Linked DNA regions of Drosophila melanogaster. The protein of the gene in region 2 interacts with the protein of the main gene of each other region in a pairwise test. Each region holds a gene or a part of one and is shown on either strand. Other genes may lie near its edges.

Region 1 (7,437 bases), on a different chromosome or scaffold from region 2:
AATGTGATTAAATGAAGCTTGAAACTTATCATTGTTTCTGTGAACGCGTATTTTCAGACTTTTTTTTTTATTGATTCGAAATGGCATACTATTAACCCCATTTACTACATTATTATTGCATGACTTTCTTGGCGTTTCGTCTGGTGTTTCTACACTGAACGAAAAGCTGTGAACTCTTCTCTTCCGAGTGTTTTAATACAGTAAAAGTTTATTGTTTTTTGCAGTGAATATTAATACCTAAGCTTATTTGTGGCATTTCTGTTTGTGGTATTTCTTTGGCCAAATTTGGTTTGTCATTTTTTTTTTGTAAGTGCCCTCTGACGTCACTCGTTTGGCGTGCTTTCTTTTTGATATTTGCGCTAAAGAGAAGCTTGACAAAAGGGCTTACGTGTCCCACCGAGAAGATTTCGTGGAAAGGCCATTAAAACTTCTCTTCTTTTTTTTTTCGGCGGCAAAAGGGGGTTGTCAAATGGCCCAACTTTTAATGGAGCCAAGGAGTTTCCTTTTCCCTTCGCGATGGGCGGCAAGAATTTTCTCTCACTTCGCCGGGGCAATTTGTGCAATTGCAGAGACCCTACCCTTCTCCTTCTCCATGTTCGAAAAAGTGGAAAACTCGCCGCCAAAAAATGAGGATTGAAAAAAAAAAAGGAAAACAGAAACGACAACGGCCGACCTTCCTCCTCTTCGGTGGCCATCATCAAAAATTTTTGTTGGCCAGCTGAGAACAAACAGTCAAGTCAACGTTGCGTGTCGCCCCCTTTGCATATTTGCCTTAATTTTCATTATTCTCATATTCATTTCGTTTTTATTTCTTTCCGGCCTTTAATGGGCCGCGATTTGAGGGAATGATGAGAAATGCTGATGGGCCAAGTTAATATGAATGAATGATGATAAATGCGCAATGTTTTTGTTCATAATTAATTTGTACTGTTCCCCTCATTTTTTTTATTTTTATTTTTCATTCTTTTGCTCGAGCCTAAATTGCCCATTAATGGCACGAGTGTCACGTTTCTGTTGCTGTTTTTTCTTTTTTTTTGCAGGGTAACTCAGTAGGCCACTTGCATGTTGGCCAAAACGGTATCAACAGGTGTGCAGATTTCATCGTTCGATTCCGGATAAAAGCACATCAACTCGCATCGTAAATTTATCGTAAAGACAACGCTTAAAATATTTATGGCATATATGCTATTTTTAGGTGCAGCAGTTATTTTATTTATTATTTTTCCATTCCAGTTTGATAAGCATCGAAATGAGCAATATAGTCTGCTTTACTTTTGATTTTATAATCTCTGATAAAAAAACGAACTTATGAGTATGTAGGTGAACACATGACTTTTTGATATCATTTAGCTGGACAACTGGATCGAATGAATTGTAAATATGTCAATGTACAGCAAATAAATGAAATGCCACGTAGAACAGAGTACTTCTTTCAGACCCATAAAGTTGTTTGAGTTCCCCGCCAACTGAAATATATTTTTCAATATTTTATATCGACAAAATGCAGCCCAACTTTTCTAGATCCACCAACATTTTCCATTGCCCAAAATGGATTCACACCATCGGCTGTCATAGCCAGTGGTTTCCCCTTGAGAACTTCCACTTCAACTTCAACTTCCAAATGCAAAAGACCAGGTGAGTGTGACAGAGTTATAGAGTTGTATGCAAACACATCTACCTGGCCACTCAAGTGCGGCAATCTGAGCGTGACGAATAATGATTTTACGCCGCTCCAAAGAATTACGAACGATGGTAATGGCGATGGTAATGGTGATGGTATATATGACTCTATCCTATGGCTCGGTATCTGAACGGATTTGCTGAACTTTGCTGTTACGGAGGAGGAGGAGGAGGAGGAGGAGGAGGGTTTCTTCTCTTTAAGAATTGAATCTGGCGAAAAGTGTGCAAATTGTGCGCGAGTTTCTGTGCCCGAGCGGATAAATTTGAATTCTGCATTTAGTTGGCTTATTGAGTTTGCATCCGTATATCTGTCGTGCTCGCTGGCAGCTCCTTTTAAGCCAACTATTCCAATGACTAATTTCATTTGGCTGCAGTTTGCCCGAAAGCCAAAGAGGCGTCATGCGAAGACAGCAAAAGGGGGTGGGGGAATACACAGGGAATATTTGCTTACTATTCAGATATTTATTAGATTAGTCTTCGATTTGTTGTCAGGTTATAGATACATCTTTATTAAAAAGAATGCTAAAAGATAGATAGAATATTTAATTCTTTTATGTTTCGATTTAAGCCAAATCTTTTATGGACTTATTCTGTTAAATATCTATAAGATAGTTCAGAAATAAAACTAGAAGCTGAACATTGATTTCCTGCAGAATATGACTTTATTTAGTTCAGTTATATGTAAAACTGCTTAGATCCATGCATTTGAAATTAAATAACTTCTTGCAAAGTCGCGCATAAACGTTTCTTTATTTTCAGGCCTTATTGTCTTAGTGTCTTATAAATGGCTAATTTCTTGAGTTTTTTTTTCTGTGTGTAGATGTAATATGGGCACTTGGGCAGCAGCACTTTTGGGCCACTTGTTTCTCGAAATTGAAAACCATGAGGCGCATTTAAAAAGATGAAGTGACAACTGGCATACTGATGACGACACACAGGAGAAGGGCTTGGGGGGTGCACGGGTAGGGGGAAGGGTGAGGGGAGGAGCTGTAAGTGTGTGTGTGGAGCGTATAAATATAACAAGTGCCAAGTGAAATATGTACATAAATAAGCCAGCGCAGAGATACTATGCGACGTAGACACAGATACAGTGCTCACTGGCCCTAAAAGATACATTTTGAAATAGTATCTGTTATGTTTGTGAAAGTCAACTGAGTGCATTTTCTATTAGTTAAGATGTTTTTAGTGGTTCTCATAAGAACTTTTGAAGGATTATAAAAAGTCCATTGAATTGCACCTTTTTTGCAACTTTAAATGGTTTTCTAGATTTCAAAATACATCTTTTCAACGAATTTGTTCTCCTGTTTTTTTTTAATGTTTTTCTTATTGGTTCTTCACTGTACCGCTTTTGTCTATTATCGCCGTTTTATGTGTCTGTTTCTACCGCTGCATTTGTGCATTTTTGCATTTCTGCCCTCTTCCAGCAGCTGCGACTAATTGTTGAAAGAAAAAAATGTATTAAACGAAAAAACAAAAAACAAGAGGAATGGAAAAAATGTTGGCGGATAAAAAAAAGGACTAGGGGACAAAAGGAGGCAGGATGCAAAGGACTTGTTCGCGCTGCTGACTGCGAAAAGTGCAACAAACTTTGACAAAATAAAACGAAAATTCCGCCCAAAGGTACAAACGGGGCGTGGCAATGGGGGCGGCGAACCGATGAAGCGCCCCTTCTTGCAACTTCAAATCGCAAGCACACACACAACCACACACACAACCACACACACACAGACAGTCAGCCGCAGCTGGAGATTCTCACACACATGTGAAAAAATCGCGAGTTGCATGAAAAAAAAGAAACTGCATTGAAATTGAAGCACTCTCATTAGGAGGAAGAAGCAGAAGAAGTTGCAGCAGGAACCAGAAGAAGAAGAAGAAGAGGACGCAGAAGAAGAAGGTGATGAAGACCAGGAGACGAGAAAGCGCAAAAAGTGGTAACCGCAGCAAAAATAATTCCCATTTTTCGAAAGCGATGGCAAAAGCAAAGATAACAGCTTAACTGTTGATGGAAAATGCATTAAAATAAGTACATAAGCTGCATACAAATTTCAGGCACTAAACTGAATAAATATTAATGGGATTTCAAAATGTTGAACAAATATTACGGGTAAATCATAATAATAATATATTCACTGGCAGCTTTTTGTTGTTCACGCTTAAATGTGCAAGCTGTAGTGTTAATAAAAACGTTACTTAAACTTAAACATAAACTTAAACTACAATATGATTAACATTGCTTTCCAGTTCGAAAACGTAACAAGCTGCAATATCTCAATATTTTACGAAAGGGCCACGTAGGTGACGAAAAAAGTACAAAGTTGAAAATCAAATTGAATGACACGAAACAACTCATCAAAAACTTTTAAGATAAGCCTCTTACTAGTTCAATCTAGATTTTTACTTGCAACAGCGGCTAAAATATCAATAAATTAACTGATTAGGCAAAACATATATAGAACGAGGAATTTATATTAGTTAAAAGGTAAATAGTAAACCAATTTAGGGACGAATGCAACAAAGTAAACAGCGCAGATAAATAATGCTTCAGAATGTAATTGGCTAAGCGGCATATTTACCTGATTTGTTGTTGTTTTGGCGGCAGGTTTCCCATTAAACATTGTAAAGCAACAACAACAACAATAACAGCTGTCTCTCTTTCTCTCCCGCTTTCGCACTCCTGTTGTTATTGCTGTCTCGTTCTGGCAAGGAGTTTCGGTGCTGTTGTTGTTGCTGCCGCTAACTATTGTTGCTTGCACTTGTTGTATTTTTGTCACACAAACAAACAAACACGCACACACGCTCGCACACAATGTTGCACGTTGCGTGTGCCCTGCTGCTGCTGCTTCTTCTTCTTTCGTTACTTGCCGCGCCGCACGCTCTTCCTCTTACACTTCCCAAAGCCCCTTACCAATTGACCAATGGCATCGGAATCGGAATCGTAAACAAATGCAGCGCGCTCGCACTCTTCGTCACTCGAATGCTTTCGTCACGTCACCGTGTTCTCGCTTCTTTTTGCAGCAAATATGCACTCGATTCGCACTTTTCGCGACGACAACCGATTTTGGAGCTGTTTGGGGGCAGAGTGTGACCGTCGGGCGCAGCGGGCTGCACGTCGACTGCGGCGTCGCTGAAATTACCTAAAATATCTGTATGGCGCAATGGTGTGGCGTGGTGTTTGGTTACTACGCTGGAACGGTCACACTGGAAAAGAAAGCTCAATGCATTTAGCCAAGACAGGAACCAGTCGAAAGCTTAAATCGCCAGCTGTCGGCGGTTAGGCAAACTGCTACGGCTCGACTTTCTCCAGCTCGTCATAGGTGGCGCCACGGTTAGTGCAGATAATCATCTCATAGGTGGCGCCAATGATAGTGTTAAGATTAAGGCCTTTTAGCAACTTTCCTATAAAATAAATTGCGAAAAAAAGTATTTCCATGGGAAACTTTGTGCTGTCAAATAAGTGCTTAAAACATGTATTGATTACAACGTGTGCACATTAATAAGCTATGAAATAAAACGCTACGCCCGCCACTAATGAATTGACTTTAACTTTATGAAACGTTTTAATAAACTTTTCAATATACAAAGAAAGTTACAAAGAGTTTCGATACCTATAACTTTTTACCTCGGCAGACGAAAGGTCGAGTTATAAAGCATCGAGTGCATATATGTACACATTCTGATAACTGCGATATCTGTCTGAGTTTTACGATGCAGTGTTTGTTAAGTCAGTGGGCGAAGGCAAATGGTTAATTATGTTACAAGTTGACGCAAATTTATGGCCAACTAATCAATTGATTGTTGCTAATTGATAACCGATGTGATAACATAAGGCCCGCATATAGAAGAAATTCCTCACATCCGCAATACCTCGAAATTTCTATGACAACCACTTTGAACTATTATCACCAAAACTCTATGAAAGGGGTACTTTTTTTTTAGAATTACTGGGTGCATTACCATAAATTTTATCAGTTACGTTGCTCGATGTCGATCGAATTAAACTTAAATTTATACTTTAATCTGTATACTTCTGTTGTGTGTGTAAAAAATAGATTTATTAAAAAAAAAATGGAATAAAGGCAAAGCTGTCCGTCTAGATCCTCACCAGAACCTCGTAATTCTCCAGACGCACCTCCTCGCCACCGAATGGGATGTAGATGCAGCCGTGCGAGGGATGGATCTTGCCCACACTCAAGCTGTCGCAGTAGATGGCCCTGCCGACGTAGAGGGGCTCCCCGTCGACATTCGGACCGGAGGACAGGGCTCCGGGAGCCACATTTCCGTGCGAGGCCGGAACCCAACGGAATCCGGATCCCGTCAGCACCTGGACGTCGGTGAGCTCGTGCTCCGCCTGGGCATAGGCGGCATAGGCTTTCCCCTTCGCCGGCACCACTTTGGCTGGCAGCAGATCACCATTGCGGAACACCCTGCCCACGTAGATGGTGTCCCCGTTGGAATCGTGCCCAGCAACCAGAGCTCCATCCGGAATATTTGTTGCGGTGGTGTCGATCCAACGTTCCGGCTGGCACAGCACCTCGTAGGCAAAGATCTTAACCTCATCGGAATCGTAGGGAATATACAGGCAGCCGTGGGATGGATGCACCTTGCCCATGGTTAAGCTGCCGGCATGATAACCCCTGCCCGCATACAAATACTCGCCGTCCACATTCCGACCAACTTTGACGGCGCCCGGCGGCACCTCCCCGTTCTCCGCCGACAGCCACTCGTAGTTGTAGCCGGAAAGCACCTCGTAGTTCTCCAGCTCGTGCTCCTCGCGCGCATACGCCACGTAGGCCTTGCCCTTGTTGGGAATCACCTTCGCCGGCAGCATGTCGTTGGAGAAGAAGGCACGGCCCACGTAGATGGTGTCCCCGTCCGAATCGTGACCAGCCACCACGGCATTCGGCGGCACGCTGCCGTTGCTGAAGTGCATCCATCTGTGGTCTGGGGGATAATGGAAAAATGAAACGATTATTTAACAGCACACCGAATGGTATAACTCTTTAATTCTGTTGTTCATGGCAAGTAAACTAGTTTATTTGGCTAGGCCAAGTTAGTTTCCAAAATTGAATTAATTTATTTTGAGTTTCAACTGATTAAGTACTTTAAAGATTGGTAACTGTTTTATATCATCCACCTAGTTAAATGTTTTCATTTTTTGTTATGGCATCTTGGCCTTACGACCTATTTACCTGCCATTTTCTTGTCCGTTCTTCAGCAGCTCTGACTTTCAACTGTGAAAGTGGTCGATTTGATGGTCTTTTTGTGTTTCCGCCTCGATGTCGCTGATAGGGCTTATCGGGAATATACCTACATGGCCAGATAAGAAGCCCGACCTCAAGTGACTCAGATCTTGGCAAACTCTTGTTGAATTTCTAATCGATTGGCCAATTGGAAGTAATGGGGTTTAACATCGAGAAACAGGCAAGTTTATTTTATTAACCCATATAGTGAAAGTAAATATTGCACTAGAAATGTTATAAATGTTAAGTAAATTTGATTTATATTTTATTTTTTTATCTCGTTATAATTTATACATTTAAAATTCTTTCGAGTCGTCAAGAATGTAATTGCATTCATAATATCATAATGGTTATTACTTTTTTTTTTGTTGCCGACAAACTTTCTCGCTTATTGTTTGTTACATATAGCATATACATATTTCATGGAGCTGTAGTTAAACACAAAAAGTTTATTCCGCTTTTTAACATACTAATAACAATAGCTTGCGCGTTTACAACTCGTGGTTAACCAGTTATC
Region 2 (7,015 bases):
CCTCGAGCTCGAAGGTCTTTCCGCCCAGCACAAACTTGATTACCGGCAATTGGGGAATGAGATCGCAAGAAACCACATACTAAAGTAAGAAATTAAGAGGATTAGCAGTGCTTCATGTGAGAACTTAGAGCATGGTACTCACCTGACCACCGATGATGGGAGTTCCACCAATCTTCTGGTTAATAGAGGTGGCCTCTTCCAAGGGCGCAGCAATTAGTGAGGTACCGGTGTCAGCGATCACCTGGCAACCGCCCTTGCACAGCTGCAAATCGCCAATGGAGGCGGCATCCATCTTGATTTGCCAGTAGGCCTTGCGGGTAACGGGCAAGTAGGTGAATTCACCAGTGTAGTGGTTGGGATCGGAGCCGCCAAAGATGATCTCACCGCCCTCGGGCGAGGCGGGATCGCGATTCAGGTAGAATGAGAACACCGGAGCGGAGATCAAACCCTGTTCGTACATGGCGTAAAATGGCGGCTTCACCTTGTCCACCGAGATGGAGTTGTAGCCCAGGCCTAGGATGCCGTCGAACTTGGCAGCTACGAAGACCAGGCCCGGCTCACTGAGCGCCTCAGCGAATGTCTGATCCTTGATGTCCAGGCCGGCAATGGACACCGTATCCGTGGACAGGTATCCGGACAAGCTGCCCGAGCCATACTGGATGGCGAACTCAGTGCCGTTCTTGGTGTAGGTCTTCGACTTGGAGGCATCGTACTTGTTGTGCATCAAACAGGCGATGTTGGTCAGGTGGCACTTCTTGGACGGCACCCACAAGTTCGAGGAGCCGGTGTCGAAAACCACACGGAAGTTCTGCGGTGGCGAGCCAATGGCAATGGGCCCATAGTACTGCGCGTCCATATAGTTGGACAGCGGTTCCGGCACATCACCTCCGCCGTACCTAATGCGCAATTGCTGCAGCTCCGTGCCCACATCCGCAAAGTGCCGGCGGGCCGACTGAAATTTGTGGAGCGGTACGCGCAGCAATCCGGGCTTCTCCTGCGAATTTGGGTGGGCCACGGCCGCAGCCAGGAAGGCGACTAGAAGCAGTGCAACCTTCTGCATTTTGATTTCTATGTTACGCTTCTCTGGTGGCTAAAACTGCAATGATCGCTGCAGTTAATTAAATATTGCGGCACAGCGAAAATGATTCAGCACAGATAATGTACTAAATTTGGCTTGGCGCGTCGTTTTGATTAGAGAGATTCGATAGTTTTTGTTGTAAACTAATGCAATTCTTTAATTTTCGGAATGTTTCTTTTTAATATTTCGCGTTTATGTATATATAATACAAATGTATCATTATTTCTACACATTTAGGAAGAGCTTGTATCATGACTACGATCTTACTTTAGAGACAATAAGGGAAAGCTAAAAAAGTATTTCCCATCTTTCATTTTTAAACGCTTTTATGAGCAAACAATTAACAATTATGATGAGCAACCTTAATGTATTAATTGATAATATAGATAACAATCGTAAGGAGCGGGTCGAAGCTGAATTTCGAATCTTTACTTGTATATATAAATTCTAATAAATTCATGATAACATGGAATTATATATTAAAATATGAATAGTAAGTTGTATTTTGAGCTTAAATGGTTCAAAAATATTACAAAAATAGTCTTCTTATAGTCACCTAAAATCCAGAGAAATAATTTTATACTATTGATTAAAATGAAATAAAAGTATTAAATATAGATAAAAGATATAGCTAATCCTTTCTAGTACTTTTTACAATCACTTATTACTCGACAAAGTTTGGATTTGACCTTAGCACAGACATCCAAATCGGAGATTAGGTCATCAATGTTCGTTCGGAACGGAGTAACTCTAGCAGTATCCTCGAATGACTGTTTGGCGCGCCGCATTCTTTCGTGAATCTCACTCATATCGAGCATCTTTCCAATAGAAAGCTCATGGTTGGTGGACAACAGTACCGAGAACAGAACGGCGGACTCCATGGAGACTTTGCTTCGATACCCAACGCAGGTTTTCTGCTCCATTTCATCGCTTTCCATGAGCACGGTTTGGCATCTTTTCAGGGAATCGCCTTTCTATAAAAATCGAGCAAAAATTAATATCATACTATTGGATTAAGAGAGTAAGAGATATAAGATTATAATGTGATGTGTAAGTGCCCGGATAACTGCATAAGGATAGATTAAATTAAATTAAAAAAAGGGTACTTATTGTTTATTAACGAAAGCAATTTTAAGTAAATACATTCATATTTATGCATGTACATAGTAAATTGGCATCAAAATTATTCGCCGACAGATATGCTTACCTTAATCTTCTTGATATCTTCAGGTTGGATAAAATGTTTCTGGCGCTGGACTACAAATCGAGCTGCAAGGTCACAATCCGGAGTGTACTGGTAGCCTTGGGCAACGCGCCTGAAGAATGGATGCAGATCCAGAAGCTTAAGGCGTTTTTGGGCCATCTCCGAAAGCTGATAGGTGTCCAGTTGGGGCAGAACTTCGGTTAGGAATAAATGGCACACTTCCTTGGCAGTGAGATCCCTGAAAGCCTCGTTCCTGGTGTTCCACTCCTTCCAGGCTGAAGCATCCTGGATGTAAAACAGACGGCACGACGCAACAGCGTAGTCGATCAACTCCCTGTGGATCGATTGTTCAGCATCGTGCAAAAGCGTAGATCGAGCAATACGGCCGATATTGGCATTAAATTCCGCTTCGTCCACAGTTTCGTCCATTTTCATTCCCAATATAAAACATTTTATTATAAAACAGTAAAGAATCGGTTTAATTTCAACGTGCGCTTTCAGATCTGCACTCTTTTTGTAATCGATAACTGCTGTGTATCGTATGCGGCACTGAGACTATTGAAATCTTAGGGAATGTTTAGGAAATAGGAACATCTGGAGTTAAATGTATTTCAAAACCGAAAGCCACAACTTTCCTTAAAATATTATGCCAAAAAAAAATCTACTAATATAAATTTAAACATAATACTTAATTCTTTATTTATGTTAATTCATAATAATTTCTCTTCCAAGGGAAGTGTATTTGGAGTGCGGCTACTAGCATAATTTTCACTCTCATTGAACAGCTGATAGAGTCGCCATATCGTTATACAGTTATGTTTACACTTGCTTCATATTGGCGCGAATCATTCAAGATTGTGGGTTAAATCGAATTAGTAAAAATCAAATCACGATTTTTCATTCATGTTCAGGTTCTTCCGCTGCAGGCGATGAAGCGTACGAAGGCGCAGAAGGCAGGTCCTTCCAAAAAGGCAGCAAAAAACGAGAAGGCCAGCTCCGAGCCCAAAAGTGACCAGGAAAGCAGCGATGAGGAGGCCTCCACATCGAAGGCTTTGTTGGTTTCTAAGCCGGATTACCAAAACTTCGAGCAGTTTCTTACCCACTTGGAACACCAGCGAGTCTGCACGGCAGCCAACATACAGGAGTTCTCTTTTCGAAAGAAACGAGTGCGCGTTCTGTCCAAAACCGAAGATGTAAAGGAATCCAGCCTAGGCGGCGTCGTCTACTGGATGTCCCGCGACGGGCGCGTACAGGACAACTGGGCCCTGCTCTTTGCCCAGCGTCTGGCTCTCAAGCTGGAATTACCCTTAACTGTGGTATTTTGCCTAGTTCCCAAATTCCTGAATGCCACTATCAGGCACTACAAATTCATGATGGGCGGCCTGCAGGAGGTGGAGCAGCAGTGTCGCGCCCTTGACATACCGTTTCACCTGCTGATGGGCTCCGCTGTTGAAAAGTTACCACAATTTGTGAAATCCAAGGACATCGGAGCCGTAGTCTGTGACTTTGCTCCGCTGCGTTTGCCACGCCAATGGGTCGAGGATGTGGGCAAGGCACTGCCCAAGAGCGTGCCGTTGGTGCAAGTCGATGCTCACAATGTAGTCCCCTTGTGGGTGGCCTCCGACAAACAGGAGTACGCTGCGCGTACCATCCGCAACAAGATCAACTCCAAGCTAGGGGAGTACCTCAGCGTATTCCCACCAGTTGTGCGGCATCCTCATGGAACTGGCTGCAAGAATGTGAATACCGTGGACTGGTCAGCTGCTTATGCTTCGCTGCAGTGCGACATGGAAGTGGACGAGGTGCAGTGGGCCAAGCCGGGGTATAAAGCAGCCTGCCAGCAGCTCTACGAGTTCTGCAGTCGTCGTTTGCGCCATTTCAATGACAAACGAAACGATCCCACGGCAGACGCCTTGTCCGGACTCTCGCCGTGGCTGCACTTTGGTCATATTTCGGCTCAGCGCTGTGCACTGGAGGTGCAGCGGTTTCGAGGACAACACAAAGCCTCGGCGGATGCGTTTTGCGAGGAGGCCATTGTGCGCCGCGAACTGGCGGATAACTTTTGCTTCTACAACGAGCACTATGATAGTCTTAAAGGTCTAAGTTCTTGGGCATATCAAACGCTAGATGCACATCGCAAGGACAAGCGAGATCCCTGCTACAGCTTAGAAGAACTAGAAAAGGTTCACCACGGATTCTTTTTCTTTTGATTTGAGACTAAAATGATTTTATAATTTTTTCCTAGTCTCTCACTTATGACGACCTGTGGAACTCGGCGCAACTGCAGCTGGTACGCGAGGGAAAGATGCACGGCTTTTTGCGCATGTACTGGGCCAAAAAGATTCTGGAATGGACAGCGACACCGGAGCATGCGTTGGAGTACGCAATCCTGCTGAACGACAAGTACAGTCTGGATGGTCGCGACCCCAACGGCTATGTGGGCTGCATGTGGTCCATTGGCGGCGTCCATGACATGGGCTGGAAGGAGCGGGCTATCTTCGGTAAGGTTAGGTACATGAACTATCAGGGATGCCGTCGCAAATTCGATGTAAATGCCTTTGTCATGCGATACGGCGGTAAGGTGCACAAGAAGAAATAAAACGTTTTCGGATTTGCCTTTGTTTTGAATGCAAGCCAAGAGCATTTTTTATTTAACCATAGATCCAAGAGGCTTTATAAAATATGACAAAATTACAGCTAGCGGGACAGAACTTAGTCCTTCTCGGCGATCTTGGTGAGGTGTTCCTCGATCTCCCGCTCATCCAAAATACGGAAAGTGGGATCAGACTTGCTGACCACGCCGATCTCAATGCCGTTCGGCTTGAAGTCTATAGCGAGCACACTGGACAGACAGGAGATGGCCAGCTGGATCGCTTTCTCCTCCGACAAGTTGGGCTTGTACTTCTTTTCCAGATAGCTGTTGGCCTCCAGAGTCTTGGCACCCACGCTGCAGGCCTTGAACCCGCTGAAGTAGCCAGCCGGGTCCGTCTTGTAAACGCTGGGGCCGATTTCATTGTCGTAAGCGATCAGCACCATGCTGCAGCCGAGCGGACGCATCTCGGCATTCTGCGTGTACACCTGGTTGATATCCGCAATTCGACGACACAGCACATCCACGGGCATTTCGTAGCCGTACTTGTAGCGGAAGTTGGCGGCCTCGTATCTGGCCTTCTGCACCTGTGAGCGGGAATCAGCTAGGGGAGAGAAATAATTTTAAGTATTTAGTGACACTCTTGGGTTGATATGTCCTCTTTTCTAGTTGAAGCACCGTGTGAAAACTACGTTTAAAATGGCTCCACGCTATACGCCTTTGCCCTAATGTCTGGCAGGCTATTTCTTCTGATTTTAGCACAATCATAAGTGAATCGCTACTTGGTTACATGGGACATATCAACAATGGGATAACTCTGTGCTAACTCGACTGGAATTTGACTCGAATCACGCCGGGATAAACAAGAATTTAAAGTATCTATGGTTCATACCTATGCGTCCGGTCATTGCGCATCCAATGTCCTTGGTGATGCGGAACAGGTGGGTCACCGTTTCAGGCACGATGTTCTTCTCGGTCACTTTTTTTTGGGTGGCCACCACGGCACAGTCGCCACTCTTCAGCGCCACCGTGGTGATGTTCTCCTGGGCAATAGCCTTGAAGGCGTACTCTGGCGGGGAAATGAGAATGTCAGACTGGATACAATGGAGCCGCAAGTGCCAGGATACTAACCCACTTGGTAGAGGCGTCCCTCCGGAGAGAAGATCGTGATGTGTCTGTCAAAGCCGGCTGAACTTCCGCGAGACATGATGCTTTCTTCGTGCTTCGATAGCTGCAATAGACAACGCCGGTTAAAATTCAGTTCTCAAGTCTGCCGCAAGCAACACACCTTTTGAACAATTAAAATTTACAAATTTGTATATAGCAGGGAAAATGTCGCTTCAAATCGAACCTACTGTGCAAAATTCAGATTGTCATTCTCAGCCCGAAAATGAACCTAAAAAATACCAAAAAGAAACGCGCGCTGGGATATATCGTTTATCATTGAAATCGAATATTTGGAAAAAGCCAAAATAGTGTTAAGCTACGCTTACAAAATGTTTAAATTATTCCTATTTTTATTTGTGAATTATTGTAAATTAGTCAACATAGAGCAAAGGGATTTGTAAAAAAAAATATTAACAAACATATGTAAATTGAAGACAAAACTTTTACTGCTCAGTAACGTTATCTTATATAATTTTTGTTGAGGCTTACAACGTTATTTCTTAAGAAAATGTTTGTAAAAAAAGCTATTGAGCGCAAGCTAAATCTAACTGGAATTAAGGCAGTTGGCCGTAACTAAGCACAGGTGAACCTATCGACAATCGATAACGTCGCGGTGCCGTGCGTAAGTGATGGCCAACTCTAGCTGGATGTAACCATTGAGAATCGAGGTAAATATTGGTCAATAACAGCGGAGAACGCTGCAATTGCGGATTATTTGGGAGTCAAGTGCGCGTTGCCGGCAGCGAAAATGCACGAGGATGATCTGAAGAGTCAGTTGACCATCGCGCGGAACGAGATCAACAATCTCAGGTGCGTTTGAGACAGGCAAATTGCCATGAGTGTCCTTTTGCTACTGGTATAGTTCAAGTTCACACCGATTTTGCCTTGACCATGATGCAGGCAGCAAGTGCGCAACCTGCAGCATGTGCAGCGCAAGGACATTGAGACGATAACCCGCCTGCTGCAGGACTTCCGC

What was found.
Region 1: the proteins of phr (region 2) and Tpst interact in a two-hybrid assay, tested with the Drosophila melanogaster proteins (one large-scale study listed by BioGRID).

Annotation. Positions count from the first base shown.
Region 1 is NC_004354.4:13,561,150-13,568,586, reverse strand, and holds the start of Tpst (tyrosylprotein sulfotransferase), read right to left. Parts: upstream 4,765-7,437; 5' UTR 4,254-4,764; intron 1-4,253. Other genes in the region: CG32633 (uncharacterized protein), read right to left, coding at 5,771-6,621, 6,870-6,876. UniProt on the Drosophila melanogaster protein: Catalyzes the O-sulfation of tyrosine residues within acidic motifs of polypeptides. Has a role in protein secretion.
Region 2 is NT_033778.4:7,822,407-7,829,421, forward strand, and holds phr (photorepair), read left to right. Parts: upstream 1-2,882; 5' UTR 2,883-3,097; coding exon 3,098-3,139; exon of another isoform or gene 3,140-3,193; coding exon 3,194-4,465; intron 4,466-4,527; coding exon 4,528-4,881; 3' UTR 4,882-4,913; downstream 4,914-7,015. Other genes in the region: cathD (cathepsin D), read right to left, coding at 1-79, 143-1,060; CG30383 (uncharacterized protein), read right to left, coding at 1,720-2,052, 2,286-2,717; Prosalpha1 (proteasome alpha1 subunit), read right to left, coding at 4,995-5,476, 5,765-5,941, 6,004-6,079; CG18853 (uncharacterized protein), read left to right, coding at 6,788-6,849, 6,940-7,015.